Linked DNA regions of Tamandua tetradactyla. The protein of the gene in region 3 interacts with the protein of the main gene of each other region in a pairwise test. Links are inferred from orthologs where the notes say so. Each region holds a gene or a part of one and is shown on either strand. Other genes may lie near its edges.

Region 1 (7,505 bases), on a different chromosome or scaffold from region 3:
GAGAGTAACGCACACTTGCCTCGATATGATACACTATGCGCCAGAAACTGGAATCTGAACTCCGGTACCTTCTTGCAGGGTAGAGCTGCCACATCAGAGGCAACGGGGATGAAGGAAGCTGACTGGGACTCATAGCCTTTCCCAAGGGGACATCTTCCTGACGCATGAGTACTCGGAGGCAAGTATTCATCTGAAGAGAGAATGGAGGACCAGGGCGCACCTTTGCCAGGGCTCCTCCAGGCACAAATAAGCAGAGTCCTTCTTGATTATTTCAGCCTGGCAGGTGCCCAGGTCTGAGAGGCCAGCATTCACTGTTCCCAGAAGCTCAGTCCCTAATGCTGTGCTGGCTCTTCTCAGGAACCCTGGATGGCCAAGATGACAAGCACTCTCATGTGTCTAGCCAACTGGAGAGGGCCAGAAAAGGTAGACATTTTTTTCCTGACAAACTCCTATTGGCCAGGACATACTGTGGGACCCAGGTGTCCATTTCAGCTGTCATAGGATTTTCTTGCATTGCTCTTTATTTCTATCATATTTCCTCTTTTAACCAAGGTATCCCTTGACCACAAATCTGGTGACAGATCCCTTTGCATCACCATTCTTCTACCAATCATTTCCCTAATTTTTGCCTACTTGCTGGTCTTAGGCCCCACATTGGTTCTCTGCACAGCAGCCAGGATGAGCATCTAAAAACCATGCCAGTGTGCCACTCAAGACCTTATGCTTCTCATCACAGGTATATAAACCCAGATCTATACCATGGCCCATGGAAACCAAAAGAGCTGGGTCCCTTCTCTCTCTTGCTCTGTCCTTCACCCTCCCCTCCACTCCAGTCACTCTGACCCCTTGCCATTTCTGGGACATGCCACACTCATGTCTGCACTCAGCAACCCCTTGTACCTGTTGTTCTCTCTGCCTGGAACATTCTCCCCAAGACTATGCAGGGCCCAAATGTATGGATACCAAGACAAATATAACATAAAACAGAAAGATAGAACTGAGATCTAGTTTATCAGTTAGATCAATAACAGAACATGAGTTTAATTTACCAATTAAAAGAAAACAGTCAGAAAAATCTACTTCTGTGAGATACATAAAGACATGCCTAAAATAAAGAGATTCATCAAGGTTACAAACAAAATGATGGCAAAAATGTATCAGGCCAGTGCAAATTAAGACCCTCAGAGAAGTCTTGCCTGAAGATCCCCACATCACTTGTTGACCCCTCTTTCCTGTTTTAGTTCTCCTACAGAATTTACCAGCAGTTTAAGAATTATTTTGCTATCCATGTCAGCTTCACAAGTAGTGGAGATTTTATCACATTCACTGCATATCCCCAGAGCCTCAAATCATGATTAGCATGTATTCTAGGCTCTCCCATTTTTTCAATACTTTTTCCAAAGGAGAAATAGCTTTTTAAAATTTTTCTATGAAATAGAGTTCACTGTGAAAAAAATATTCAGCTCACATTGCAATCATTTTTGCTGTGTCAATGTCTACAATCTTCCATATCCATTAATTATTTTTAGTTTCTATTCACTTTTTTCTTGTTGATTTAAGTATATCTTTACATATTAAGAATACTGTTCCAGTCCCTTTGTCATGTGTGGCAAATTTGCTAGTGGGTTGTTTTCTGTGTAGAATGTATCATGGTGGTGCAGAAAACTTCTATCTGGTTCTTGGTTTTGGTGTCATGTTGAAGAAGATAATTTCTAACCAGGGATAAACAAAGATAGTAACCCAAAGATAGTATTTCTTCAAATACGCGACGTGAAAAAATCAGTATTTTACTTGATTTTTAAAAAGAGTGTGTGTGCATGTGTGTTTGTGTGTATACATGGATAGTTTTAAAATTTTAATGCCAATAAACATTCAAGGTTTAGACAGTGGTTAAGTGTCAGGAATCAACCCAATTACCACTACCAGTACTACCCGGACAAATCTACATTTTTATGCCTCAGTTTCCTCATTTACAATGGAGACACAGTCAATACTCAATAACCTTCTGCTGTTTACTATTATAGGACATAAATGTTCTAATACTTTATATTTTAATTTTGCTTTTACATTTTTTTCCTTTGGTTTATATATGGAAAGTCATTCAACTTTCAACCTTAAGTTTCTTTGGGGAAACCTGGGCTTTTGTGGAAGGTATTTGCAAAAGAGTTATATCTCTTTTTAAAAAAGAACTGAAGTTCCATCTTAAAGCATCATACATAAAACAAAGTCAACGTTTATTCAGTACCTGCTTTTATACTATTATATTACTTAAGTTTGTTTCTTTCAAAGCATAGAGGAGGCATGAAATACCCCCATAAATCTAGGGCATCAGTTTCCTAACTTGGTTGCATAGTCTATTGGGCACCCTTTTTGAAATGTAGATTTCTGAGGCCCAGCCCAGAACGTGTGATAACTGGCTAGGTGGGTAAATCACTTATTGTAGTGATCTATTATGCCCATTTTGGAGATTAGATACATAAAGCCCAGAAAAGTCCTGTCTTATTCAAGAGCATATTCACATGCTCCAGAGGCAAGAGGTTCCCATGCTTTGCTTCATTCCTTTGTGAGGTTCTCACCCTCCTTCCTTGCCTGGAGAACTCCTACTCATTTTTCTGGGGCCAGCTCAAAGTGGTTTCATCTGTGAGGCCAGGCCACCCAGGGAGAACGAGGCCCCTTTAGAGCCTCCTTGCTGTGACCCTCACCCAGGGGCCAGAGGGGCTCCTTGAGTGCTCTGTGCAGCCTGGGGTATCTCCAGTTTCCCCAGAACCGGGCCAGGGAGGCGGATGCTCCTGCTGACCCGCCCATCCGGGCCCCAAAGCAGCTGTACCTTGAGGCATACAGGTATCCAGGTGCGCTGATTCTCGTCCAAGTAGACGTTTCTTTCCCAGATCCACAGGCGGTCGGGGTGCATGGCTGTGGATTCCCTGAACAAGGGGCGATCGTCCATGGCGCCTCTCGAGTTCACTAGCAGATTAGCCAGACACAGGGCCCCCACGCCTTTATAGCGAGTGGGCAAGCCGGCGCCCCCACGCGGTGGGGCCGGAGGGGGGCGGGCGCTAGGCGGAGAATGGGGTATGGAGCATAGCGAAAGGGGCGGGAAGTGGGAGGTGCAAGGCAGAGGGGGCGGGGCGAGAGGCAGGAGCAAGGCCAGATGGGGTGGGGCGAGAGGCGGGGCCCAAAGCAATATGGGGCGGGGAGAGAGGCGGGGCCAAGCAGCGCCGAGCCTGCCGGGGGAGGATCCGTAGCAGGCCCTGAGGCCAGAGCTTGACCTGTAAACCCGGACCCAGGCCGCGTCAGTCCAGGAGCCCAGACCCAGGCCCCAGCAGGTCCGGGGCCTTTTCAGGACCTCCAGCTGGTCTTTCTCGCCCCTTCTTTGCCGTCCATTGCCCGGTAGGTACTCGGGTCTGTGGCCTTGGCTACAGCGAGAGCCATCCTGGCCCTCTTTTCAGCGCGCGGACACCACTGTCAGCCAGTGCGTGTGTCTGTCCAGGCCACGCCCCAGAGCTAGCAGCTCCAGGCCTCTGTGCGGAACTCCCAGGCTGCCTTTGAGGCCAGGCGGCCTGGAGCCGGTGTCCGCTTCTTCATCTTCTGGGATCAGAGGCCACTCAAGCGGGGGCCTGCTTCAGGCCTAGGCCTTCCCAGGTTCGTGGGCTTACGTTCAGCCTATGGTTTTGGGTGTCAGAATCAATTTCCTTGGCAAAACTTCAACTCTTGAGTCCCCTCCCTTCCCCCGAACACCCACTTTCTGCGGGTTTGGGGATGCTGTGGCCATCTAATAGCCATTGTGAAACCTGCTGGTGAAGAAACATGGTTTTCCCTTTATATGCTTTGAATTCATTACAGAAAGCATAATTCAAAATGAACACTTAAAAAGAAACCATCGCTTCTCGGCCTTTTGGCTAAGATCAAGTGTAAAAGGAAACCAAAACCCTCTCTTCACTCTAAGATCAAATGGATTTTTCTGTAAATTAAAGCAAATAAGGAAAATATTTTCACTTCATTTTGTAGTAGCATGCTCATTAAGGGAATTAAGGAATTAAAGTACAATGAGACAAATGTAAGCCCAGTTCCTGTCTCATTGTTCAAACATCACCACTGGCAGCAGTTTGGTGCCTTAACTTCTAGCTCTTTCCTCTCTCTCTGATTAGGTACTAAGAAAATAATCTGTGATCTTTTGGAATGTCATGAGAGTGAAAATGAGTTTAACTTTTGATCCTCTGGCAGCAAAAGTGCCTGTATGCTGCTCTGCTTATCCAGACAGTCTAATTTCCAAGAAGGTGCTGAAGTAGTCTAAGGTAACAGAGATGTAATTGAATTTACCAGGAGCCCAAAACAGAAACGAAAATCAAAGAAAAACTGGGGGTGGAAGGGAGGAGATGTGAGCCTAGTAAACCTTTTCCAGTCAATATTCAGTATTCAGTCTCGGGGTTTTCAGGCTGATTTCCCAATGCATGATTCTTGGCTCCACACTCAAAGAGAGCCACATGTAACAAGATGAAACAGTGGAATAGGTTCTGTTGCGGTGGTGTCATGGGCTGGCCAGAGTTTTGAGGTCAGAGATGATAGCCAGTCCATCTTAAACAGTGTTGCTGGAATGGCCTCTTGTGGCAAGAAAAGGAGGCTCCTAGGAGCGGGTGTGGCTGCTGCCCTAACCCCATCAATTGCCCTGTGACTTAGAATGCCACTGGGTCTGCAGATCTAATTAACCCTCACTCTGCTTTTTTAAGAGGACAGGAAGGAACAAGTAAAAGAGCAAGAATCAGACCCATTTGGCTGGGAGAGAAACTGCTCTGGATGTTTCAGGAATAGGATTCCTTTTTTCTCCTTTACAAAGACAATATATTTCTTCAGTTTCAGAAGAGGGCTTCTTAATATTGAACGAGAGTATACGTCATTCCTGTATGGTACTTAGAAAATCATATGAGAAGGGATTCCAAAGAGTGAAAAGAGAAATAAGCTTAACTGAGGAATTTAATGAATGGCTTCTTTGGGGGCCTTCAGTTTTTTTAGGAAATTCCATGAGAGGGAAAACAATAGTTATTGTGTGGTCCCAGGGCCAGGGACCCTGGTGCAAGTCTGCACCATGTTATCTGCTCCCTCTTAGAGCTCTATAATGCCAGTCAGAGAAGGTTTCAAGTTGCATGCTCCTTTGTGACTCTATTTTTATTGTTTTTATGTAATATAATTTATATTTTATAGTTATATTTATTTATTGTCTTACTCTATTAGTCTGCGAGTTCCCTGTGGATAATCAAGTGGGTATTTCTGTAGAAAGTAACATAAAACAATTATTTTGTTTCATTTTTTGGCAGAGTTGCTAGCTGGTGCTTTCATGTCCTGACTTGAAATCCAGATTTGACTTTGCTGCTATCACCTGTGAACCTAGCAACTCCTTTGCTGTCTGGACTTTGGGGCCACACTTTTGTAATGAATGGGCAAACTAGATGTGCTCTAAGTCCACTTCTAACTAACATTCTCTGATTCTACCATGACGTTGCCTAATGGGAGGAAGAAATATAGAATGAATTCAGGAAAACCCATAGTTTTGAGCAGGGTGATAATGGACAGGAAGGACCCCAGTGGAATTCATCCTTCTTATTTGGGTTCATGGCCATCAGTATGATGTTTAGCCTTTTTACTCAAAAGTGGCCCCTGAACTAGCAACATCGGCATCGCCTAGAGTTCACAAAAACAGCAGACTTACCTGAGTCAGAATCTGCATTTTAACAAGACCCCCAGGTGATTTGTGGGAACACTATGTGCCAGTCTATATGGAGGCACAGGTGGGAGAGCTGGTGGCTGTTTGCCTTATCCTGCCAATGCCCTCTTATTTCTCTATGACACAGGAATTGGATGTATGTTTCTGTATCATTTAGTGCTAGGCTACCTTTTGTCTTGTTAAATTCACTTTTAATATATATGATGTTTTCCCCTTAATAGAAAATCCTGGGAATTTAAGTCATCATAACCAACTTCAATGATTGTTGCAAGCTACAAAGGGTCTACTTAGAGGCTAATCAGGTGTCCAGGCCTCTGGGGCCCTCCACTGAATGGTTTTAAACACTAAGCCAGTGGGTGGTTGTGTATTAGAATCACCTGGAAAGCTTGACAATCTACCTGTGCCTGGGCCCCACCCCAGGCCAAGTAAATCACATTCTCTTGTGGGTGGGTCTTAAGCATTAGAATTTTTAAAAGAGGACTTCTCAAGTGTTTCTAATGCACAGCCAGGCTTGAGAACTTGCATTAGTGTTTTTGAGGTGCAAACAGGGTTTATAAAACCAAATAACCATAAAATGGTAATGCCAAAAGCCATTTTTTTACTGATAGGTCTCATTGTAAAGCTTACCCTGACCCCATGTTTTTACTTCTTTGCCTTTGCCCTATTTTAAATTTGCTGCTTCTAATCTTTAGTGAGTGGGGAACTGTAATACCCAGTTTATTCGTATTGTGAGGGGCTGACATCTCTCCAACGCATGAAACCCAGGAGCCCTGATATGTAGGTGTTAAGGCACCCATGCTGGCTGCTGAAGTTTTCTCAGGATTTCTGGCTCTGGGGCATATTTTGGATAGCTGAGGCTACTGATCAAGTGAGCTCAGGTTTAAAAAAGTTGTTAGAGCCTTAACCCATATGGGCTGAAATTGTATCTCTACATTAATGGAGAATCTGGGATGAGGATTTTCCAAGTAGAACTCAGGAGACGGATTCTAACTTTGTCCACTGCGTGGTTCCCGTTTTTCTTTTTAAACTTAACAGAGCTTTCTTTAAGCTTTAAGTGCTTGTCAAACCTTAAGGGTCCTGTGGCGATCTTGTTAAAATGCAGATTCTTAGTCATAGTTCTGGGGTGGACTTCAAGATTGTGCATTTTAACAAACTGCAAGACTGGTCAGTTGACCACCCCCAAGCAGCTAGGCGCTGTACAGTGGTCCACCCCACCCCAATATACACACAAAAACACAATTGCAGAAGCAGAATACAACCCTAACCCCTACTCAAAATCCCCAAGGGTTGCCCCTGCCAAACTGATGGGTGAGCAGCATGGATTGAAATTGCAGCAGACTCTGAGTAGGAATGCAGTCTCCCCAGTTGCCCATAGGCAGGTTTATCTTAATTTGTGTTAGAAACAGATCTCAATCCTGGGATTATTCCACATTTTGGGTTTACCCATAGTATAACTGGATATCACCCTGGTTTTTACTCCACCCTCCATTTTAATTTGATTCTATTCATTTGCCCTCAAAAAAAGAGTTCATCTGCCTCTTCATGAAAACTGGCTAGAGTCTTGACTCATAATTTCAACTTTTCTGTTATATATAAACTGAGATAAATGTATTGTATTGCTTTTAGCCTTCACACTGAGAATGTTCTTTTGTACAATATCCCTTGATCCAGCCTTTTAACTTTAAGTATATTTTACATGGCATTCTAGTCAATTAACATGGTGTAAGACTTTTTTTTTTTTTAATGATGGTAGGTAGGAATCTAGCTGTATCTTTTTCTAATATTT
Region 2 (7,585 bases), on a different chromosome or scaffold from region 3:
TATTTTTATTTCTTTGTAAACAGATTCAGCCAAGGTGAATTATCTTGAACAGTCATGCATTCTCCTCTAAAATCTTAAATACACTCATTTTTAAAAAACAGCAATAAAAAAATGTACACTTAAATGCTTAGCAGAACTTTCACTAATGAATTTTACTGCTTTAATCTTCAGATCTGTTTTTCCATTTCTTTCTTTTTAATCCCTTGTAGCATTAAAATGCTAAACCACGTTAGCATTCTAAACCACAAAGGACTTTTTAATGCCAATGGATTGTACAAATTCAATGTAAGGAAGTATGTGGCAGAAGTTTAGGAAGAAAAGCTCTGATTACATGTGGTGTGCTATGAGTACCAAAAACACTCATACAATTTTGAACATAATCATAGATTGGTCCTAAGTCTTTGGCTGGTCAGTCAAGACTGTAAAATGCAGGCAACTAGGAAGCATCAAGAGTCACCCCTGGAACATGTAGGCATTTGAGGGAATATGGATGCCCCACTTAGAGAATCGCTAAGGGTAGACTTGGTGGCTCTCTTTAAACAACAGAAGGGCTCTTATATTAAAATGGCTTTGTTATTACTATGTGCAGAATTAAGTTCACAGGGTGTAAACGTAGATTTCAGGTTACCAAAAGAAAGAAGCAAAGCTAACTGTTGGGTATAGTGTTAGTTCCTGGAGGTGTTCAGTTACTCTGGATGACTGAATTTTAGGACTGTGAGAGAGAGAAGTCCAGCAGGTGAGTCCTAGGCTAGACCAGAATGCATCTAATTTCCTTTAAGATTCTGCAATTTTTTGGGCAGGCCACGGTGGCTCAGCAGGCAGAGTTCTTGCCTGCCATGCCAGAGAGCGCGGGCTCGATTCCTGGTGCCTACCCATAGCAAAAAAAAAAAAAAAAAAAAGAAAAAAAAAAAAGAAAAAGATTCTGAGACTTTTTAATGGTTAGCTGCTGTACTAAGAATAATATTGAATGTCCAGTGTCATGATGGACAACTAAAAGCAGTTCCTCATTAGGCAGTTTTCCATGGTATTAGAGAACCTACTTCATTTTGAAGTCCTCAGCAGCCAGCTTAACATTATCGATTTGCAGGACACATCGAGCTTTTTTCAGTAGTGCATCCTTAATCTGGAAAACACATGATATAAAAAATATGACATTTTCAACTGGATAGGAGTTTAAAAGGATTGCATTTATCCTCAGTTAGAACCACTTTTATGTACAGGGATGATGTTCATTTCCAGAATTTCCACATGAAAATAGCAAGGAAGAATAATGATAAATGCATTTAAAATAAGACAGCTATAAAATGCAACTCCGGTTCCCAGGGTTTGGTCATTTTTCTTGTGATTATAGTAAAGGAGAATTTAATTCAACTTGAGTCAATGAATCTTTACTGGGGGCCTGCTTGGAATATTCCTGTTAGCTCTTCTCCCCTGGTGAGCTCCTACATTTCCTTCATGTCTCACCTTAGACCATCTCAGAGATGTCAGTTGTAAGACAGGTGTGGGAGAATGGTTGCCTTATTTTGAACGTTTTTAGTTGGAGCCACTCTTGGCAGGAGGGCAATTTGAACACCCCTGTCTCATATTTTTGGGGTTCTGAGACCCCAGCATAAGTTCCTGTGAAACCTGAATCAAATCACTTGTCCTGCTGGTGTCCTAATTGTTCCCAAGAAAAACAGACTTGCTGGTAAGTAAGGCCTTTGCTCTTAAAAAATATTTATCTTAAAATAGAAATGAAAATGAAGGGGACATTTTTCTTGATTAGATAAGAACTTTAGAGCAAAGCAAGTGCTCTGTGTCATACCTGAAATCTTTAATTAGGAGTAAAGTCTGCTTTTATTCCATGTAAATGATAAAATAGGGAACGCCACCTTTCTTGGATGACATGGGAACAGGTATTGATGTGATTGCAATAAATCTGAATTGGGAGCAATGTAACATTTTATTACTATAGAAACAGTTCCTGGGCTGATTGATGATCATGATAAGGTTATGAAACAGGGCATTTATAAATCCAGGCCTCATTATGATTTGTACTTCCTGCCCCTGCTTCCACCCTAAATCACTTTGTCTTTAAATCTATAATATGTGATTCTAATACTCATATATAACATTTATATAAGTGAAAGGAGAAAAATCTCTGGACTGACTGTGGGAGAGTTCATGGAGAGAAGGTGAAAAATTAAGAAAGATCATTATCATGTAAAGAAATTTTTGCTGTTCTCCAAAAAAAGTTTACCATCCATTTAGCCCTGATCTGGTAAACTGTAACAAAACACAGACTATAAAACTGAAGGATGGAATTGCATATTTTGTATGTAATTATATAAAGTGTTTAAACAGTGTGATTTAAAGCCATCCTATTATGCTCATGCAGTGAGGCATGCCAGCATAAAGTAGATGATAGAGAATAGCCTTTTTACCAAGTTAACATCTCAGCCTCATTGGCTTTAGAACATCCATTTTGACCCACTTAACACACATGTGTCTTCTAGACCCACCACGCAGCTAAAGAGTGGAGTAGAAAACACAGTAGTCCTCACCTGATCTCGCAGCTCTTGGATTTGTTTGTAATATGCACTATAGTCTCGACCGCTGCTAGGAGCTTTGGTGTCATACCACTGCTTGATCTTCCTTTCGAGTTTGGAGTTGGACTGCTCCAGGGAGTGCACTTTCCCCAAATAGATAGCCAGCCGATCATTTAGGTTCTGCATCATCATTTTCTCATTGCCAACAAACGGTAACCCGCGGTTGAGCTCATTCCAGTGGTTCCCCATGTGTCCGAAGGTGGAGATGCGAGTGCCACGGCCTCCAGCACCCCCATAGACGCTGGGAGCATTCACCCGGCGCTGCACACCCCAACTCCAGAACCCGTAATCGCTCTCACTGAAAGCAGAGACCTGTGAGGAGGAACCCCGTCTGCCCGAGAAATCCATTGCGGAATCTGGGAGAGAGAACCTGTAGCTTCAGAATGGCTGGAGCCCAGTCTGTCGCACAGTGGATGTTGAGTTAAACTTTTATAGTGTTCACGGAGAGAGAACTGCTGACATGTCACTTTGGCAGTGACATCACAGTCTACCTTGCCTTGCTTTTTTTTTTTGTGCAACAATATGTCTAATTCTATTCCAGAGGCACTTCTTGGAGGTTTTCTCAGGGGCGATTTCTTTTTTTTTTTTTTTAATAGAAGTAACAAAAGAATCAAGAAAATGTATTCTTCTAGCCGTTGCACCTGCTTTGGCATGTTTTTTTTTTCATCCTATTATACACATAAAGTTACAAACCTCATGAGTAATTAAGATGTTTAAAAGGACAAATGTGAGTACATAATTAGTCACTGGTGAAAAAGGACAATGTTTATTTATAATGATTGTTCCTTCAGAACTCTAGTTTGTTTTTTGCTTTTAAGTTTATCCCTGCTTAGACGTTTTATTTTATAAGAACTATTATAATAATCTGTTCAAACACAAAATCTTGAATATTTAAAATGAACACAAAACCTTAAATAATAGATTGGAACACTTATGGATATAGTTTGGGAAAGTGAATTAAATGAATTTAGGTGATTTTGAAGGTTTTGCTTCTTTTTCTAATTCTAATGTTCTATGGCTAGATAATGCATTTAAATTCATCAACAACTATCTGATGTTAGAGCCTGTTACCAAGAAATTTAGACTCCTCAGCAGAGTACTTTGCACTTGGCATGGTGCATAGAGAAGTCTCCCTCCCCTGTATAAGTTCAGCTTCAGCTTAACTATCCACCACTAGACAGGCTCCCCTCCATCCATCCTGAAGCCACAGCTGCTCTCTTGTCGAGTCCTCAATGGATTTCACTGGCAGGTGTGTTTATGGAGGTCTGATCTTCCTTGCAGGACCCATACACTAGCCTACTGGCAATTCCCTATATAGGAGGCTGTTCTGCAGCACCTTGGCACAGCACCTAGCTTTCCTGGTGGGAGGTTGGAGTCCACAGCACCTGCAACTCCACCTCCAGATACTTGGTGAGCTGAGGGCGCCCTCTCATCAGCGGGAATGTGATCGTAGGCACTCAATAAACACTGTTGAACTGAATGGGATTTATTCTTTTACTCTCCTCATTCGAATCTCCTAATGGAATTTACACCTCCCCTAGAGCATTTAAGTTTCTTCCTTACTAAGTTAAAGACATTGAAAAAGCCACGGAAAACTCATTATGATCTCACTACTTTAATTGAATTTGTTTTGAAGAATTGCACATTTCTTGCACATTTGTTTTGAAGAATTTGAAAAATGTGTCCTGTTTAGTGATTTTTCTCTTTTTTTTATTGGCGTTCTTCAGAAAATCAGTGATTTTTTTACTTGTTGGGTTTGAGTTTCTTTTTCAAACATCCTTTTTCCAAAATAAGGTGAAACTATATTTTCCTCCCTTATAAACAATATACTTGAAATAATACTTTGAATTAGATTTTGTCTCAGTTACTTTTACTTTTATTAAAGTTAAAATTGTGAGATAGTTAAACCTACCTCATGCATTTTATGGTGTATGTGTGGCCAGCTTTTACTCATTCATTCACTTATATTCTTTCACATATCATTCATTCATTCATAAATGAGCATTTATTGAGTGTCTGCTGCCAATGACTGAACATGTAACAAACAGATCTTATTTATGAGAAAGCTAAAAATTATGCTTTGTAAACAGATTTCACAGCTAAAATTGGTAGTAAATAACTAATAGTGAACCATGTTTTCCTTTAGATGTGTATGTGCAAAATTAATATTTTTTTGGTGTTTAATGGAGGAAGCAAAGATTGTTTGATTAAAGTCATTGGAAAATTGTGCTTTTTAAATTTCAGAAGTTTTGCAGTCAGCCTCAGCTAAGAGGCTCATCTACTATCACATGATTAAGTCACGAAGAAGAATTCTTTAAATCGGTAGTCTGTTATATCTAGAAAGAAAAATAAATGCAGTTATTAAATGTGATAAATTTTGTTCTCTTCTTTAACATTATTCTTCTTTATTGCAGAAACCAATTATGTTTGTTTCAAAGAGCTAAAAATCTCATTTTTTATTTTTTCAAGAAATAATATTAATTATGGGTTATTCCAACAATTTTTGTAGGTTTTGAGATTTCCCATTTAAACTTGAATATAATAGGGCTATTATGGGGTTCGGTCATCTAATCCACTTATTTGTCAGGGTGGAAAAATTCCTATCGGGAAGACTTTAGCATCTTTACATAAGGGTAGAAGAATTTGCTGGCTCCTCTATTATCTTGAGTTTTATGCTTTGGTAGATTAATTATTATATTTTATAACATGACCATAGGAAATCAGACTAGTCTTTCACTGCAATTCATTTTTCTGAATTATACCTGAGGCTCAGATATAGGTCTTAATGACTCTTGTTACACACAAAGTAATCTGAAATAAAGGTAAAGTTTCCTTGTACCTAATAGGAGGTGCATTTTGACCTCAGACTTTGCCAAGAGTGTTCATGATTAATATAAAGTAAGGCCAGTAATTTGGAGAGCTAGCATAAGAACTAAAATTTTCAGAGATTTTGGACTTTTTTTTTTTTCCGTCACGGACAAGCCATTGCAATTCAGATGTTATAAATCTAGAATCTGTTGTCTCTGGAAGAATTGTCTTCTCCATGCATCTCAGTTGGGATGCATTGCTCTAATTAGTTGAGAAGGATGGCATATGTGAATTGTGGATATTTGTAGGCATTGCAAAGTTAAGACAAAAAAAAAACATGGCCTCTGTGATTTAAAAACTGTTGTACCTACTGAAATAGTTAAAGGTGAAATATGATGTCTTGGATTTGCTTTAAAATGATGCGGGAATATAGATGAGAGAAGTTTGTCCATGAGTTATTTGTTGAATCTGGGAGATGGGTACACAGGTAATTTTTATACTAGTCTGATGACTACTGTATTTGAAATTTTCTATAATGAGACATATAAACAAGTGATGTGGTAAACTTATCTTATTGTATATTATGCAATCTGGCATATTCAAGTTTTGATTTGTACTTAATTGCTAATTCTGTCCTGCTGTGTTTCAATGAGTTGGTGAATTTGGCATATCATATTGGCTCAAATATTGTAGGTCTTCAGTATCGACTTGTCATGAGAATGATGAATGAATAAATGAATAGAAGTATTAAAGCCCAACTTCAAGGAGAGAAGAAGCATTTGCCAGTTTGACTCCACAATGAGATTCTGGATGGAGGGGACCCTCAATGCCCATTGATTGCTGTTTCTGCTAGTCATATTAAGAAAGTAAAACAGTTGTCAACCACGGCTTCCATATCATGGGGTATGGCAGACTGGATAGCGTGAATGTCCCTCACAATGGAAATAACTAAAATGAATTATCTATCTATTGATTTATTGATCTCTACCTATCTTTTTACACCCATTGAGGAGGGACAGGTTCAGCAACAGATTAGGCAAAGCTAAAGGGCAATTACTGAACTAAAAGATAGCTCCAAAGAAATTATCCAATATGGAGATTATCCAATATTGAGGTTAGAGAGACTAAGAGGAGTCAAGAGACATGAAAGCTAGCCTGGTAGTTTTAGTCAGACTTCCAGAAAGGGACAAAAGAAAATGGAAAAAAAAAAGCGAAAATATGCAAACAGATAAAAACTGAAAATTTTCCATAATTGCTTAAAGAAACTCATTTTCAGATGCAGGGAACCCAAATGAATAAAAATAAATCACCTCTAAATAAATCAGAATGCCAGATTAAGAAAGAGAAATCTGAAAAGCAGGTAGGGAGAAAATACAGATCATCAACAAAGAAATGGTTGAGCTGACACCTCAACACCAACAATGGACAATGGAAATGGAACAGTATCATCAACATGCTGAGATAAAATACCTGTTAATATAAAATTCAGTAACACTTTCAAGAATGAGGGAAAAAGAAAGACATTTTCAGGAAAAAATAGTTTGTCATCATCAGACTCTTACTAAAAGCAATCTGAAAGAATATATTTTAGACAGAAGGAATGTGATCCCAGATGGAAGATCTGAGATGCAGGAATGGATCAGTGATCAAAGAAAGTGCTCAATATGTGATTAAATTAGAATGAATACTGGCTATAAAATAATACATGTATTGAGAAGAAAAGCACAATACAAGTGAAAGGAGATGAGAGCTGAAAAGGAATAAATGGAGTTACATTTTTCTAAGACCCTTGATTATTCAGAAAGAGGACAAAGATAGGGATTAAATTTAGACATTGATGAATTAAGAATGCAAAATACATTTTCTAGTTTTAAGTTATGTCTTTCACATGATGGGTAATGGCTCCTATACTGATCTGCAATTAAACCAGCAGATCAACACATAGAGCTGAGAAATTGGTCTGTAGATGGAAATTTAATTTTCATATTACAAAAATGGAAATCGTGTTCCTATCTCATGCAAATTATACCCATAATATACAAAAATAAATTCCAGGTTCATTAAAGGTATAAATATGAAAGGTAAACATTATACAATGTTTAGAAGAAAATAAAGAATAATATTACTAGGAATCATGGTAAAGGAGTATTTCTTAAATAAGACACAAAAAGTGCAAACTATGAAGGGCA
Region 3 (7,670 bases):
GCCAAATGATGAATTTTAAAAAATATATACCTCGGGGTGCGAGGTATATACTTTCATTGGTAGAATTCATTGGTAGAATTCTCGCCTGCCTTGCGGGAGACCAGAGTTCGATTCCTGGCCCATACAACTTCCCAAACAAAGAAACCAACAAAACAAACGATTCAACAAATGGTGCTGAAGTAACGGGATATTCACATGGAAAAAGAATGAAATGTGACCCCACTATACAGCATACAAAAAAAAAAGTATATATCTTCTATATACGTGATCGTAAGATTTTTTTTTTTAGTATTTCCTCTTTAAATTAGGGCCACAGGCAGAGGGTAGGAAAGTGGGGAAAAGGATATGCATATAATGTCACCCAACCTCAATTCTTAATACCCTTATTCTGAAGGCTGTCAAGTGACTGTCGGTCACCATCTTTTCTGCACTGCCTGTGCCTGAGTCAATCTCCTTTCTACCCTGCAGGGCCACTTACACCCAGGGACCTCTAGTGTCAGCCTTGGGAGGCTCCAAGAGATGGGTACAGACACTGCAAATCTCTAGAACACAGGGCAAATGCAGTCCATGGGTGGGTTTTGTTTGGCTCATAGCATTTTGTCAACAGTTAAAAATCTAGAGATTTTACTTTAGATTCTTGGTTTTTTCTTAAAAAACAAAGAAACAAAATTCCAGATGCACGAGCCTGTAGTTTTGCATGCTATCAATTGGCTGAGATAAAGTGAATGAAATAGGCAACTCTCTTGGTCCTCATGGGGCTCCCTGGCTAGCCTGTGCAGACAATTGAGTTTTTGACCCCAGTCTAGTCCAATCCTTTCACAAAGCAAAGCTGAAATTAAGGCCAGAAGGAGGGAAGTATTTGCTCAAGGTGACACAGCAGATGAGGGATAGTTCTGGCTGGCAGACGGTCACCCAGGCCTCTGGCTCTCTGTTTCTCAAAGAGAGATCAGAATGGATGTCAGCCCTCACATGCTCCCAAGGCCAGGCGCCCTTGTGCAGTGAAACAACCTGTAGACCTCTATGCCACCCACTGAACTAAGTTAGGATGGTTCACTGCTCTGTGGAGTATTGTGTTCCTCTAACTTCTGGCAGAGCAGTTAGCACAAGTAATGTTGGGTCCCAATGCCTTCCCCTCAGCAGCCTCACATGTAGCTGCCCTCTGCTCACCGAGACCCTTGGCTTTCTTCTTTTCCTGTGGCCTTCGTTGGTCTCGGTCTCCGCCCTCGTCACTTGCTCGGATCTCCTCTGTGCATGGCTCCCCTTTAGAGGTCTCCTTCTCACCATTGATAACTTGGGTCCCTGGTTCAGGTTCCCCATTCCTTGCTGCATAGTTCCGAGACTTCTCTGCATCTTCAGGTTCAGTGGGCTCACCCTGGGCCCCATCCTCACCTGGGCCCCCCTGATTTATGTCCACACAGTATGTACTCAAGATGTCTTCCAACTGGCGGCTCAGCTCTTCAGAGACATCACGTAGGGGCCCAGACTGAGCAGTTTTGGCTTGAGCCCCTACAGCAGCAGATGAGGGACAGAATGAGAAATAAGATGGTTATACCACTGGTTGGGATTTTTCAGGCCCTGCTAAACTCCCTGGCTGGGGTTAAACACTGCCTAACCTCTTTAAGCCTCATTTTATTTACCTATAAAATAGTATAACTACCCCTTACCACCACCCAAGAAGGTGTGTTGTAAGCATAAGAGGTCAAGTACGTAAAGCACATTGCACCAGTTAGACATATAGCAGGAGCTCACTTTCTAGTCCATCACTTTCTCCTTCCCCCTAAAGCCATAGTTTGCTATTTAAAAAGTTCCAGAAATGCCTCAAATATAGACCCACTGGTGACTGATTTGTTACCTAACAGGACCTGGATTTGCAGGTTGGGTCTCTCATTTGACTGTCACTTGGCTAATCCTGTTAGAGCCTTTTCTCAAGAGAGTTCTGTTCCTGTGGCTGGAGGGGGAGGTTCTACCAACTCCCCAAGAAACGGTGGGGGTCACACAGACTCAGCACTGTCCTCTCTCAATCTACATCTCTGGCCTCTCACTCCGGAAGCTAAACCTGCGTACCACAGATTCCTCCCCATGACCACCGGAAAAGCAGAGCTGACACACACCCTCAGTCTTCCCTGGGGCCTGGCAGCAGGAACCTTCAGCTTCTGTCGCCGGAGTCGACTGGCTGGACCGCCCCAGGGCTCCCTCCGGTCCTGCTTCCGGTTGCCCTGGGCCGCTTTTTGGATTGAAAGTGTTGCTTGATTGCTTGGCAGCCCCATTCTTTTTGTCTTGGTTCTTCATTGTGGTTTGCGATGCTAGGTTAGCAGCAGATCCTTTAGAAACAAACACAGCTGCTATTTTCCAGACTTGGAAATTCTTCGCAGCCTCTCTGGATCAGAAATTCCAAGACCGGGCGAGAAAGCTCTTTAAAACAAACAAAAACAGATTGGCGGGCCTTCACCGGAGGGAGCCAACGGTTCTGCTGGTCATTGGGCTGACGGGGCAGTTTGGCCTGCCAAGGCAGGTTTCCGAGCTCCACTCCTGGAGCAGTCGAGGAAAGAGGCCTCTTTTTCCCCGAAGCCACTTCCCGGCACAACACGGCCCCCTCACCACAGGCAAAGAGCGGGATTGGCTCAAGGCCGGAGACTGACGTGGCGGGAGGCTCGATTCCCGATCTCTCCCCGCCCCCAAGCACCACGTGGGCCCCCATGCGCGCGCAGACACCCACGCCCCGCGCGCCCGCCAACGGTGTGCGCGACACCCCCGCGCATGCGCATAGGCATTAACCCATTCTCCGGCCCGAGCCCACGAGTGGAGTCAGCGTGATTCCTCCCACTGGCCGGAAGCATCAAGGCCCATAGGCCCTCCGATCGTCTCATTCCACTAGTCGCCACAGTACGCACCTCACCGCCCGACGGCTTCACCCGCTGTAGCTTCGCACCGGAAACCCTGGGCAACCGCTGCCGGCAGTGCCGCCGCCGCCGCCAATCAATAGCTCGCGCTCTCGCGGGGCTTGCTGGGAAAGACGAAGCGAAGCCGCCTTTTGAGGCCGCTTACGTTGGGAAGGCGGAGGAGGGAGAGGACTACGAGTCCCTACATGCACCGGGGTAGCTGACCGCAATTCCCAAGATGCAGTACATAGGGCTTTAGTCTTCTCAGTCAGATACTCAGGAGTTCTGAAAGCAGCTAGTCATTCTGCACAATACCCACGTCAACCTCTTTTCATACTACGTAGAAGCTATGACTCAGTCCCCAGGCCTGGCGCCTGGTTATTCTTTTTTGCATGCTTCCACCATCCCTTCACTCTTTACTGTGAACTTCTGTGGCTATGTACGAACTCCGAGGAGTCAGGGCAAGGGATAGAATCTTGAGCTGGGAACCAAACCAGTATTCCAGTCCTGAGTACACTAATTTGCTGTGTAGTGACTGGGTTCCTATTTGCTTATTCAAGGGAGGGGCTTTTAATAATAACAGTAACAGTTTGTTGACCGTTTGCTGTGTGCATTTCTGGTATCTACTAGTTCAATATTCAACTACTCATGGAGGTAAGTACTGTTGTTATTCCCATTTTACAGGTGAGGACAGTGGGGTAAAAGATAACTTGTCCAAGGTCATACTACAAATGGGTAGTTAGACCAGGGAGTCAAAACTAGAAAGTCTGTCACTGTCTTTCACCTAGAATAACCAAAGAAATAATCATGGCATATTTACGCTGAAGATGTCAAGGTAACTTGTGAAACTAAGTTTTTTTTACCCTCTTTCCTATCACCAACTTGGCCATTAGTCCCTCTTTGGAAGGGTCTGAGGGGTTCCTGCAGGAGAGGTTGGCTTCAGGCAAAGATTCCTAAGTCTCTTCTCTGGCCTACCTATTACAGAGTAAGTCCCAGTAGCACCAGAGTTAAAAAAGAAAGCCAAGTTTTTTTTTCCTTCCAAATGTGAGATTGCAATTCTTTATTGCCACCGCCTATAGATAATGGAATAATGGCAGACAATCCTTGTGCCTGGAATTTAAAGCCTACATGGTTTGGCTGCTGCCTCTTTCCAACCAACTCTCCTCTTTCTCCCTGCCTTTTGGCTCCAACTGTGCTTTTAGTATTTCTGCAATTTCCCAGGTTTTTGCAGGTCATATTCCCTCTTTCAAAATGACCCTCTGGCAAAAACAAAATTTTCTGTGGCTATGCTTACAGGTCACTTCAGTATGTTCTCAATCCTCTGCAGTCTGTCCTCACTCTAGTCTGGACAGAGTTCAATTACAGAATTATTCGAAACGGTTGAAATTACTATTTACTTACAAATCAAAGAACTGTTGACTAAATTTTCTAGCTCCAGAGCCTAGCACCAGTCTAACAGCACAGGCTTGGTTAAGATTTCAGGGCAGTGCTGGGCCTAATCTTCCCCAGCCCGTAGGCGGCACCAGTGTCTGATGGAACACTGAGTGGGAAGCAATGTGGTATAATGGTATGATGATAGAACTGAGGCTCAGAAAGACAGTGTCCTAAAGAGCCAGGATTTGAAATCCAGATTTCTTTACCCTACGTACTTGATTATTTCCATAACAGCATGTTGGAAATGTCTTGTGGAGGTATATGATAATAGGAATAGAGGAGGTAGGTGGGCAATAAGAAAAATTGATAGAAATATGAGTTAAAATGTTACTTTCTCCTTTGCTGGAAAAGAAAAATGGTAGTGATATTTGCACTTGACAGAGTGAGGAATACAATTGGGAATAGTGAGGATTATGGTAAAATAGAGCAGTTTTTGCAGTTTGTTGCCAAGCAGAAAACTTAGGCCGAACAGTGCCAGATATTCAATATTTTTCAAGACAAGATATTATCTTGACTTTTTTTTAACTTTGGCAACTAATTAAAACTTAAACACACTCTATTGGCCAATCAAAACTCTTCTTTTGGGCAAAATCAACTTTTGGCTGCTTCTCTGCTTTAGAAATTAATCTAAACTGAAGCAAGGCATTTATAAAACTATATGATCTTGGGCGTGCAAGGGGTAGTTCAGTGGTAGAATTCTTGCCTGCCATGTGGGAGACCTGGGTTCGATTCTTGGCCCATGCACTTCCCAAAACTAAACAAACAAAAAAATTCAACAAATGGTGCACCAATAATGGTGCTACAATCTGGAAAAAGAATGAAATGTGACTCTGCCATACAAAAAAAAAAAAACATGAAACGAAAAACAAAACTATATGATCTCAAAGTATGTGGTATTGTTTCTTCATGGGCAAAATGAGGATAATGTTCACTTAAGCCTATAAGCCTTTTAAAGAGTAGTGGACTGAAATGATGTCAACATCCTTTATAGAAACTCTAAAAAATGCAAACCAGCCTATAGTGGCACACTGCAGATCAGTAATTGCTGAGGGTAGGACAGGAAGGAGGGACTCCAAAGGGGCATATGGAAACTTTTTAATTTTTTTTTTTTTTTAACATGGGCAGGCACCGGGAATCGAACCCGGGTCCTCGGGCTTGGCAGGCAAGCATTCTTACCTGCTGAGCCACCATGGCCCGCCCAATATGGAAACTTTTATGTTCACTATCTTGATTATAGTGGTTTCATGGTAGTATATGTCCGAACTTATCACAGGGTACACTTTATGTAGTTTATTGTACGTTATAACTTCATTATTTGAAAAAAAAAAAAGAAGTCTAGCAGGAGCAGGCCGGTGCAATTCTTCTTCCTACATTAGGCTACAGGCATGAACACCCTCCCCTCCTTCACTTCCAAAAAAATTCAGTTTAATTTCACTCCAAATCAAAAGAAACAATTTAGAACTTTGCAACAGGTTTTTATTTTTGCTTTATATCTATTACAGTGTTTGAAACCTAAAGAAATACATTTTCTCTTCAAATTTGGATGTGTATATAAATATCATTTTTCTGGACTAAACACTCAATGCCTATGCTCTGAAATCATCAAGCTGTATCTCTGTCTCCCTAGGGGCCCTGAGAATATGGAAAATAGCCAGACGGTTTATGTTCTTGGAAAAATAAAAGGAAATGAATTCTGAAACACCAGTGAGGTGAAGGGATGTATTCACCTTCCTAGGGTCTGTAGCTGGGAAGCCTATCTGTTCTTAGGGAACATCAGGTACGCCTTGGGTGGCTAGGGCCCCATAACCCTTTCCCTTCTCTAGTGGTTCAATCAAAGGCAGTTCGCACAAAAGCTGGATAAAGAAACCAAATTTCAACTTCAGGGTCCAAGGTTTCTTGTAGAGGACATTCTCTGAGTCAAAGGTTTCTAGCCAGTCTCAGAACCTTTGAGAAATGCCTTTCTTCACTGTCCCAGGGGATGGCAGTTTTCTCTTCCCAAACCTAGGGGCTGAAAACTAGACATACATAAGGGAACACGGGATTCAGCAGAGAGGTTCAGGCAAGTGCTAATGGAGATGAGAAGCTGGGCTGGCCTAGCCAGTGAAGCCCAAGCTCACTGAAGACCTTTACACCACACAGCAGCTCTCATAGGGTGTTCTGGGCCTCTTCTAACTCTCATAGCCAATTTTGGTTCTGCATACAGCCCAGGCCTGGGTAGGTGTAGCAGGCAAGAGTTAATACTGACCTATAGGGGCCAGATGGGAAGTATGAGTAGAGCAGGCAGGCAAGGAATAAGAAACATAGGTTAAAAAGTTATTTTCTGCTTTGCTATAAATGAAAAATGTTAACAGTATTTGCAAAATGCCTTCTCAGAGGAAAAATAATAGCTGAATTACAAGATTTGGTTAGTCTTGACCTCAAATTCTTCCCTTGCCATGGTCTTAATTCAGGGCTGGAGCTAGGGGATCAGAAATGGATGGCTGAATCATTATGAAGGCATTGGCCAAATAGCAGCCTAGTGCCTACCAGATAAATCCCTATAGGGCCAAATTCTCAGCTTGTTGGCTCAACAAAAGAATCAAACTATGACAAAAAAAACTACTGGACAAGGTTAGTGTAATCCTAACATGGCTGTGGAAGAAATGTCCTCTGAACAATCTCAGTTCCACACTCATTCACTTCTAGGGTAGTCCTACCTGGAAGATGTTGCTGGCTATGAACATTTGCTGTGGCTCCGAGTCCTGGCCCTAGATCCTTCCCCAGCCTGTCAGTGAGGCAGACAGGCACATATAACATACCTGAAGCCCCCATGGGAGTGTACAGGGACCTGAAGAATTTGGCTTCCTGCCTTCTACTGAGAATTTAGAATGAGACTATAGGATAAATCACTAAGGAAAACCCAAGATGATGGATACCAAGTTGAATGAGTTTAGAGAAGAGATGAGACCTGGGCAAATGAGCTGACACCTTCAAAGAGGGGCATGTGGGACAAAGAAGGAAGTATTGCTAAGTTTTCATCTCCTTTCCTTCCAGTTTCCTAGAATATGGGAAACTCCAAAGAGAAGACGGGGAAATCCAATTCACTCTCCTAGATGGTTTTCATTTTAAACTGGTTCAGCCTGAATGAAACAGAACATGTGTGCCTGAAAGCCTTCTTTCCCTCTCCCTTGACTAAGTACAGTAGCAGCTAGAATCTGTGCAATTCATCTCCAGAAAATAGGCCTTCTGGAAGGTGACCTCCAGGGCAAACAGAGTGGAAGGAACAGATCTAACGTAGATCCAGGTAAGAGAGAACACCAAGGATCCTTGAAAGTGGGGTCATCAATACCTGCTCCTTGGAAGAGTCATTTATGCCCA
Region 4 (7,848 bases), on a different chromosome or scaffold from region 3:
GCAAGGACAGAACCTACTTAGGAGCTGTTTCTAATTGGATGTCTCATAGGTACCTTAACTTCAACATGTCTAAAACAGAACTCATCGCATTTTTATCTAAATTGATCTCCTGGCACTCTTCTGCTCAGGAAATGATTGCACTATTTATCAAGTAGCTTAAGCCAGAAACTTTAGAGCCATACTTGATTATGTTATTTTTCTCATGCCTCAACTAGTGGAATAACCTCCTGTTACTGCACACCTACTCTTGGCCCTTGAAATCCATTCTTCACATTGCTTCTCAAATGATGAATATCATCATCTTGGTCAAAATTCTTAAGTGGCTTCCTGTTGTTCCTAGGATAAAGTCCAAAACCCTAAACATGGCCTACAACACCCTCTGAGATCAGACTCCTGCTTAGAATACCTAATGCTTACTTAGATTTCTTAACTGCTAGCAGCTATGCTATGCCTTGCAAACATTACATTTTATTCTCATAGCAGTATTGTGAGGCAAGAACTATTAGCGTCACCATCATTTTGCAAATGAGGAAACTCAGTCAAGGGGATATTGTGCAATTTGTCCAAGGTGGTAAAGCCAATAAAGTATTGGAGGCAAGATTTGAATCTAGATCTGTCTGGCTCCAGAGCATGAGCTCTTAAACATTCACACTCTCCTGAAACTGTATGCTCCAATCATTTTGCATTACTTTCACTTCCTAGAACTCATATGCTCTCTCTTACCATGAGGCGTCATACGTAGCACTCCCTATATCTGGAATGTCCCCCTCACAAATCTCAAATTGTACAGGACTGGATATTTATTCACTCATCAAGTTTCTGCTTAAATGTCATCCCCTCAGAAAAACCTTTAATTTTTTAATAAAAAATTAAATTTTTTATTTGTTTAGATCTTCATGGCCTGTCTTTCTTCAATAGAATGTGAAAATTGTTCACTCATCCCCATTTCTTAGAATGGCATTCATTAGAGGGTCAATAAACAAGTGTTGAGTGAGTGAATGAATGATATAAGGGTGGTTATATCATTAATCTGGTAACTTCATCTATTCAGACTGATAAGATACAGAGAGAAGCCCAATACAAATGTCTATCCATTAGATATTTACTTAGTAGCTTCCAGGTCCCAGCCTATACTCTTGACAAATTACAATCTGGTGGGCGAGACAGACACATAAGCATGTGGTTATAGCACAGTATATGTAAAGTACCTGTTATATATGTGGTAGGAATAAGATGCAATAGGTGCCCAGACGAAAAAGACAGTATAAAGCTATGAGAAATCTTCACAGTAGAGGAGATTCTAGAATCCTTTAGAAGGATGGATGGGTCTTGAAATATATATTATATAGTCCATGTATTTCATCTAAGAAAGGGGAGATGAGCATACACTATTTACTGGGACACTTTATATCTCATTTAATTCTCAAAGCAGCTCTCTTTTTATGGATGTGGAAATTCAAGCTAAGAAAGATCAAATAAGTTGTTCAAGATTATGGAATACATTAAAAGAGCAGAATCTGAACCCAGATCTGTCTGACTCCAGTACCCATTTACTTACCAATATATCACAGTACTTTTACTGCGTACTCCCTTTGAGGCTGCTTACTTTTATTTTCAATATAACTTTCAATAAAATTGGTCATCTGGTTTCCCAGTCTAATATAAACAAGCAGCAAAATGAAAGGTTCAGGAAGAGACCAAAGTGAAGTATATGGATAGCAAAGGGAGGGACAGAAAAAACTATAAAAATTGGACACAAAAATTTAAAAAAAAAGCATATCAGGGAGTATCTGTTAGTGCAGTGTTATACAGTCCTATACACTCTACCCTCCACTGTACAACACTACTTGATGTGCATAATAATGATGACACCATTACGAACAAAAAGGTTGTTATGGTCACTACAGTGTAAGAGATAGAGAAATAACTTCTGATGCTTGAGCAAGTAAACTTCAGGTATCTTAAAAATTAATTTCTCCCTGGTAACTATGGTTAAATGAATTATAATGGTTGTTTTCAAAGTGTTGAGAAGAAATAGCCCAAGATCTTAAACAGTCTTTTCATGTTATGGAATTGTTTTCCTGATGCCTTAAACCAAGATCAAGAGAGTATAGAAAAACTGTCAATCTCAGCTTACAAATATTGCCAAGTAAATTATAAATTTTTAAAACTTCTCATACTATGACTTTGAGCAACACGTGTGGACTGAATAATGTGTAGACTGACAGTCATACATGAAGAGTGTCAATGAAGAATCTTAATATCTAAAAACAACCAACATCTAATAACCTTTCAATAAGTCAGGATAAATTGATTATGTATAAAACAGGGGGAAAATGATAATATTTTTAACCTGCTGCACTCATAAATAGGTATGTGAAATAGAAAAGAAACAACTCTAGGTAACACAGAAGATGGTTGAATTATTTACCATAAAAATGTTTTCACTATATACTCTACCTGGATCCAACTTTTTAACTTGAAGATGTCTGCTTTTTTTTTTATAACAAAGGATTTTATAATTTTAATAAATTTACATTTAGAGAACACACCCTAGATTTTTTGTTTTTGTTTCTTTTGCTTTGTCTTTAGAGAACAAGAGAAAATTTGTTTCACCAATTATCTTGAACAGGCAAAGAAGGAAACATTTAATATCCTTTATAATTTGATATGTTTTTGAATGTAAAACTTTTCACATAGAACATAGTTTGCAACAATGTAAAAAGCTAACAGTTCACAACATAAAAGTGACTATAAGGAAAAGCAAGTCTTGTTATTAACTGTAACTTTCACCTATTTTTTTTCCAGAAGGAATGGAGTTGCTGTCTAAAACTGTCTAAAAAAAGAATACTTCGTTTATTTATATTTGGAAACTATTTTTACTTTAGTTCATTTTGTTCAATTTAAACCCCCAAATCAGTGTTTTACAGATCATTCTAAACTTAAGACATGGAGTGAATTTATAATATGAATTCATAATATGACAATCTATTGGAAGCAATACAAAGTGAATAATAAAATAAATAAAAATTTCACTGTACATAGACATAGTTGTACTTTTAATATTCTTTCTTACCTGGACGCTCTTCAGAATAAACTCACTTTTCTCTCGTACATCTTTAAAAGGACACCTCATAGAAAGCATGAGCAGATGAGCAAGAAGCTTATTCAATCCATCCAAAGAAACAGCATTTGAAAGACCGTCTGATGGACGAGAAGGTGTGTCTTTTAACGAACGAAGATACTCGGTTTTCCTCAAAATGATTTGTCTAATGCTTTCCAGTGCTGTCTCTCTAGTACTTGAATCTCTACTGCACAGACCATCCCATCTCACTTCACTCTCTCCTTCGGCCATGACAACTTGGGAGTTTTTCCTTTCCAGTCTTCAATTATCTTTCACCATGTCCCCCAAGGCACTGTATTTTTAAAATGAGAACTATAAGAATAAAATCAGAGAAATCGAGTCGTCATGAAAAAACACGTTTGAGTAACATTTGGAATCAGAACTCTTACATTGATGCTTTCAATTCTCTCCTTTTGCAAGAAGGGGCAGTCTTCTGGTCAGAGACTGGAGAGAAAAAAAAGTTGGAAAGTTGTAACCCTACAGCGCTGGCTTTGCTGGACACGGCGCCTGGAGGAAGTGTTCTCCGTCTCGCCCGGTCAGCGGATATCCTCACGTTGTGGAGTTGTCAAATCCGTGCTCTGCCCCAAAAGGCCGGTAACAGGGAACGCTCTCCAACCATTCGGGTTTTTTAGCCTGAGCAGTCACCGCGTTCTCGGGAGCGTCCCCGCCCTCCGCAGCTCCTCCCTGCGCCGCAGAGGCCAGCTGGGTGCCGGCGGGACGGCTCGCCGAACCCTGGCCCACTGGCCGCCGCGGCCAAGAACCCGGGCGCTCCCTGGGGGCGGTAACCTCCAGCAGCCGCCGTCTGGGCGAAGGCGGCAGCACTGTTAGAGCACAGCACTCACGTCCAGCCGATTCGAATGCCCGGAAAAATGCCGCTGCTTCTCCGAGTCCTGTGTCCTCGGCCAGAGTCCGCCAAGCCAGACGGGTACTGGGCGGCCCTGGCAATCCCCGAGCGTCGGGATGGGCCGCTGAGCAGGCTGAACTGTAGGGCCGGAGGCGCAGAGTCCGCCCCTACGCCCAGCCCCATCGGTGGGGATCGGCCCAGAGGCGGGAGCAGGGAGGGGAGATGGGGTCCTCACCCCCAGCCCCTCCCCTTTCTCCGCCCGGCACAAACCAGGAGCCGCCCCTGCCCCCGCGCTCTCTTCCCCGCCCAGACGGACGAGACCCGCGCAGGCAAAGCCATTGGAAAAAGCCCCGCCCTCCGGCAGGCTACCTCCAGACCCTGAGTCTGCGCGAGGTGGGGCCAACTGCTGCCGGCTGCTACGCATGCGCAATGGCGAAGACGGCGCATGCACCTCCAGAGGCATTTAATATTTTGTGGGTGCGAGTGTGGGGGTGTCGTTTTCCGTTTCCAGGCATTTGGAGTTCTGGAGTGGAGAAGGGGAAAGAAGAGTAAGAAGGAGTAGAAGTTCGCTGAAATTGTTAAAAACAATACGCACGGCAAAGAAAGGAAAATCCTGAGGCTAAATTAAGACTAGCCTAAAAATGGTGACGGCCTCTCTGTTACGCCAAACCCCAGATTTAAGTAGCTAGGACGTTCTCGCATTGGCTTCTGGGAAATATAGTTTTGATGCTGCCGGAGCGGTCTGTTTGCGACAGAAACTACAAGTCCCAAAGGCCACCGCGACGTTGCCTGCTGCGGCCTGTGAACCAACCGTTAGCTGAGGCGCGAGTTGATTGAAAGCGCCAGCTTGGTGAGGTCCGTTGGCTACCTTTTTTTGACAGGACTTTTTCTTCCTTCTTTTCTTCTGGGATCTTGAAGACGAGATCATCTAGAGCACCCCCCCTCAAGTGCGGGGGCTTTTTCTGATGACCTGAGTGGGAAGGGCTAGTCCAGGTGCCCATATCCCGTGGTATGGTGAGGCTCGGATTTGGGGGTCGCGATGTTGGGGGTCGGAGGGAGTGGCCTTCTTTGGGAGTCAAGGGGGAAGCTTGGAAACGGGTGCTGCAGGTCCGCGCTGTCGCCGGTTTTCGCCCTTGCAGGTGCACACACGCGAGATGGATTAGGAATTCTAGTGCAATTGCACCTTGTTTGCATCTGTACCGGGATAGACTGGGCTCTGTTTGGTCAAAGCACATCCCAAGCAGGGCGTTGAAAGCGATTTGTCAAATAACGTTTTGCCTGGGACTAAAGGAAAAAGAATTCCTAGTGTTGTTATATATGACTTATGCAGACTTTAAGGATACCATATGAAAAACTCTAAAGACCTCTGAAATTAGTATCTTTAAAGTTCAATTATTTGTTTACGAATAATTGTTTGTTTTAAAAGTCATTCTTTTTGAGAAAAATCGAGGATTGGAGGGTAATAATGATAATCAGACTAGATTTTATCTCTTCACGTTGCAGAATGTGTAAGACTTTAGTCTTGCTGGGCATAGTGTACAGCTGTGAAAAAGACACGGCCCCTGTCTAGTTAGTAAAACCAATGGTTAGGATGCACGGGTGGTTCTTTGGTAGAATGCTTGTCTTCCATGCAGGAGACCCGGGTTCGGTTTCCGGGTCAGGCACCCCCCCCCCAAAAAAAAAAATAGTTAAGCGTACAATTTCAGTACTATTATGATAGTGCTCTTGTTGAGGATGCTAGTAAGGTCACCTAGCCCCATCTTGGAAGGCAAGAAAGTCTCCTTCCCAAGGTAATTGGGGATCAAAATAACAAAGAGCAAATGCTGAGGCCCAGGGTGAGAGAGATTTGATACTTACAGGAAACTGCAACAAAACCAAAGCTATATCATTGAACTGATTTATACCACCAATGAATTGGTCTAATTTGGCAAGTTTTGCTACATTTTAATGCTAATGGTTTGGATCTGAGTAAAGATGGTGTTTGGGTTTGCTAAAGCTGCTGGAATGCAGTATATCAAAAAGGGCTTGGCTTTTTCAGTGGGGATTTATTAAGTCACAAATTTGTAGTTCTAAGGACATGAAAGTGTGCGAATTAATGCATCAAGAGAAAGATACCTTCTTTGGGGAAAGGCTGTTGACGTCCGAGGCTGCTGGCATTAGGGTTTCCTCTGTTACATGGGAAGACATATGGTAAGGTCTGCTGGTCCTTCTCTCCAAAATGTGTCGGGGTTTCTGTGGGTCCTTGCTTATTTCTCCCAGGGTATTTCTGTCTCTTAGCTTCTCCAGGGATATTTTCTTTCTTAGCTTCTCCCTGGATGTTTTCTTTCTAAATTCTCTCTCCATAAGCTCACTTAAAAGACTTTTTAGTAAAGGATTAAGACCTACCTTGAATGGACTGGATTACATCTCAATTGAAATAGCCTAATCAAAACAAGCTTCACCCATAGTAGGTCTGCACCCACAAGAATAAATTAAAAGAATGTAGTCTTTTTTTTTTTTATAACAGATTCAAATCAGCACAGGTGGGAATAACTGCTCTTATGAATGTGATTTACAAAATAAAAAAGCCCATTTCTCTCTCTGTTGTGGGCTTATCCTTCTTTACCCAGCCCACAAAGTCTAAGTCCCCTTTTTACTCTGTAGCTGAATATGATCTCAGCCATACCCATGGCTTCACCACTACCTATTTGTGGATGACTCCCAAAGGTACAGCTCCATCGACTTTATCTTTCAGCCTTCATATATCCAATGATCTCTCTGCTGTTTCTTCTTGTATATCTCAAAAGCACCTCAAACTCAATATGCCTAAAACCAAATTCACAGTTACCTGGTTCTCTTCCAGTGTTCTGTCTCAGTATACTACTGTCTGTCTACTTGTGAAATTTTGAAAGCTAACCCTCATTCTTGATTCCTTTCTGTTCTTGTACCTCTATAGCCAAAATATTACCAAGTGTTATCAATCTTAAATCCCAAATACCTCTCCAACCCATCTGTTTCCCTTTATCTACATCAGTACAGTCCTATTCTAAACTGCTATAATCTCTTGTCAAGACCACTGCAATAGTCATTATTCACTCTGGGCCTCCTCCATTAGTTCTCCATACAGCAGCCAGAATGATCTTTTCAAAATGCATCCCATTGCTCTTAAAATAAAAACAAAACTCCTTAACATAACCTTTAAAGCCCAGCATCATCTGATTGCCTTTCCACTTCTCCAGCTTCACTTAGTATCATTCTCTAACTCTTTCCCTGTGCTTCAGCCGTAGAGAGAGACCTTTCTTCAGTCACTGGTTCTCACCACATTCCCTTTCACCCATTCGTTTATTCAACATAATTGTTGAGTGCCAACTATGTAACAGGATATAACACTGAGTACACATACAAGTCCCCCCATCCTCCTGTTATAGAGCTTGCATTCTGCTAAGGAGAGATAGACGATAAATAAATAAGTAAAATATTTAGTACATCAAATGAAGACAGATGCAGTGGAGAAAAATAAAACTGGGATGGGGAATGGTGCCAAGTTGTGGGGGCAGGGTTCACTTTTATATATGGTGGTCACAGATGACTTCATCAGGAAGGAGACATTTGTAGGGATCTCTGTAGGGGATGGAGGATTAAGCCATTAAGATTCCTTGGTGGGTGGGGTGGGGGGAGAATATTCAGGAACAAGGCCTGTGAGGGACCATGCCTGCACATTTAAAAAAGGAGGCTTACTCTGGCTGGGGTATAGTGAGTCAGGGGATAAAAGCAGCATGAGGTCAGAGTGGAAGAGGGTAGAGCTAGATCATGTAGGTGATTGAAAAGACTTTGGCTTTTTTTATTGATATGAAGAAGCAATTGGAGGGTTCTGAGCAGATGCAGGCGGGGTCTGACATTT

What was found.
Region 1: the proteins of TXLNA (region 3) and TCL1A interact in binary tests that used the Homo sapiens proteins (3 or more experiments, as listed by UniProt). The two-hybrid records come from large-scale screens. The link is inferred for Tamandua tetradactyla from reciprocal best matches to the Homo sapiens genes TXLNA and TCL1A.
Region 2: the proteins of TXLNA (region 3) and KRT20 interact in binary tests that used the Homo sapiens proteins (3 or more experiments, as listed by UniProt). The two-hybrid records come from large-scale screens. The link is inferred for Tamandua tetradactyla from reciprocal best matches to the Homo sapiens genes TXLNA and KRT20.
Region 4: the proteins of TXLNA (region 3) and CEP57L1 interact in binary tests that used the Homo sapiens proteins (3 or more experiments, as listed by UniProt). The two-hybrid records come from large-scale screens. The link is inferred for Tamandua tetradactyla from reciprocal best matches to the Homo sapiens genes TXLNA and CEP57L1.

The regions. Positions count from the first base shown.
Region 1 is NC_135338.1:56,901,417-56,908,921, forward strand, and holds the start of TCL1A (T-cell leukemia/lymphoma protein 1A), read right to left. Parts: upstream 3,003-7,505; 5' UTR 2,948-3,002; coding exon 2,828-2,947; intron 191-2,827; coding exon 20-190; intron 1-19. UniProt on the Homo sapiens protein: Enhances the phosphorylation and activation of AKT1, AKT2 and AKT3. Promotes nuclear translocation of AKT1. Enhances cell proliferation, stabilizes mitochondrial membrane potential and promotes cell survival.
Region 2 is NC_135332.1:26,527,276-26,534,860, reverse strand, and holds the start of KRT20 (keratin, type I cytoskeletal 20), read right to left. Parts: upstream 3,002-7,585; 5' UTR 2,937-3,001; coding exon 2,544-2,936; intron 1,124-2,543; coding exon 1,041-1,123; intron 1-1,040. UniProt on the Homo sapiens protein: Plays a significant role in maintaining keratin filament organization in intestinal epithelia. When phosphorylated, plays a role in the secretion of mucin in the small intestine.
Region 3 is NC_135328.1:193,695,614-193,703,283, forward strand, and holds the start of TXLNA (alpha-taxilin), read right to left. Parts: upstream 3,016-7,670; 5' UTR 2,892-3,015; intron 2,679-2,891; exon of another isoform or gene 2,413-2,678; 5' UTR 2,290-2,412; coding exon 2,112-2,289; intron 1,507-2,111; coding exon 1,168-1,506; intron 1-1,167. UniProt on the Homo sapiens protein: May be involved in intracellular vesicle traffic and potentially in calcium-dependent exocytosis in neuroendocrine cells.
Region 4 is NC_135331.1:167,541,521-167,549,368, forward strand, and holds the start of CEP57L1 (centrosomal protein CEP57L1), read left to right. Parts: upstream 1-4,829; 5' UTR 4,830-4,979; coding exon 4,980-4,982; intron 4,983-7,848. Other genes in the region: SESN1 (sestrin-1), read right to left, coding at 3,077-3,355. UniProt on the Homo sapiens protein: Centrosomal protein which may be required for microtubule attachment to centrosomes.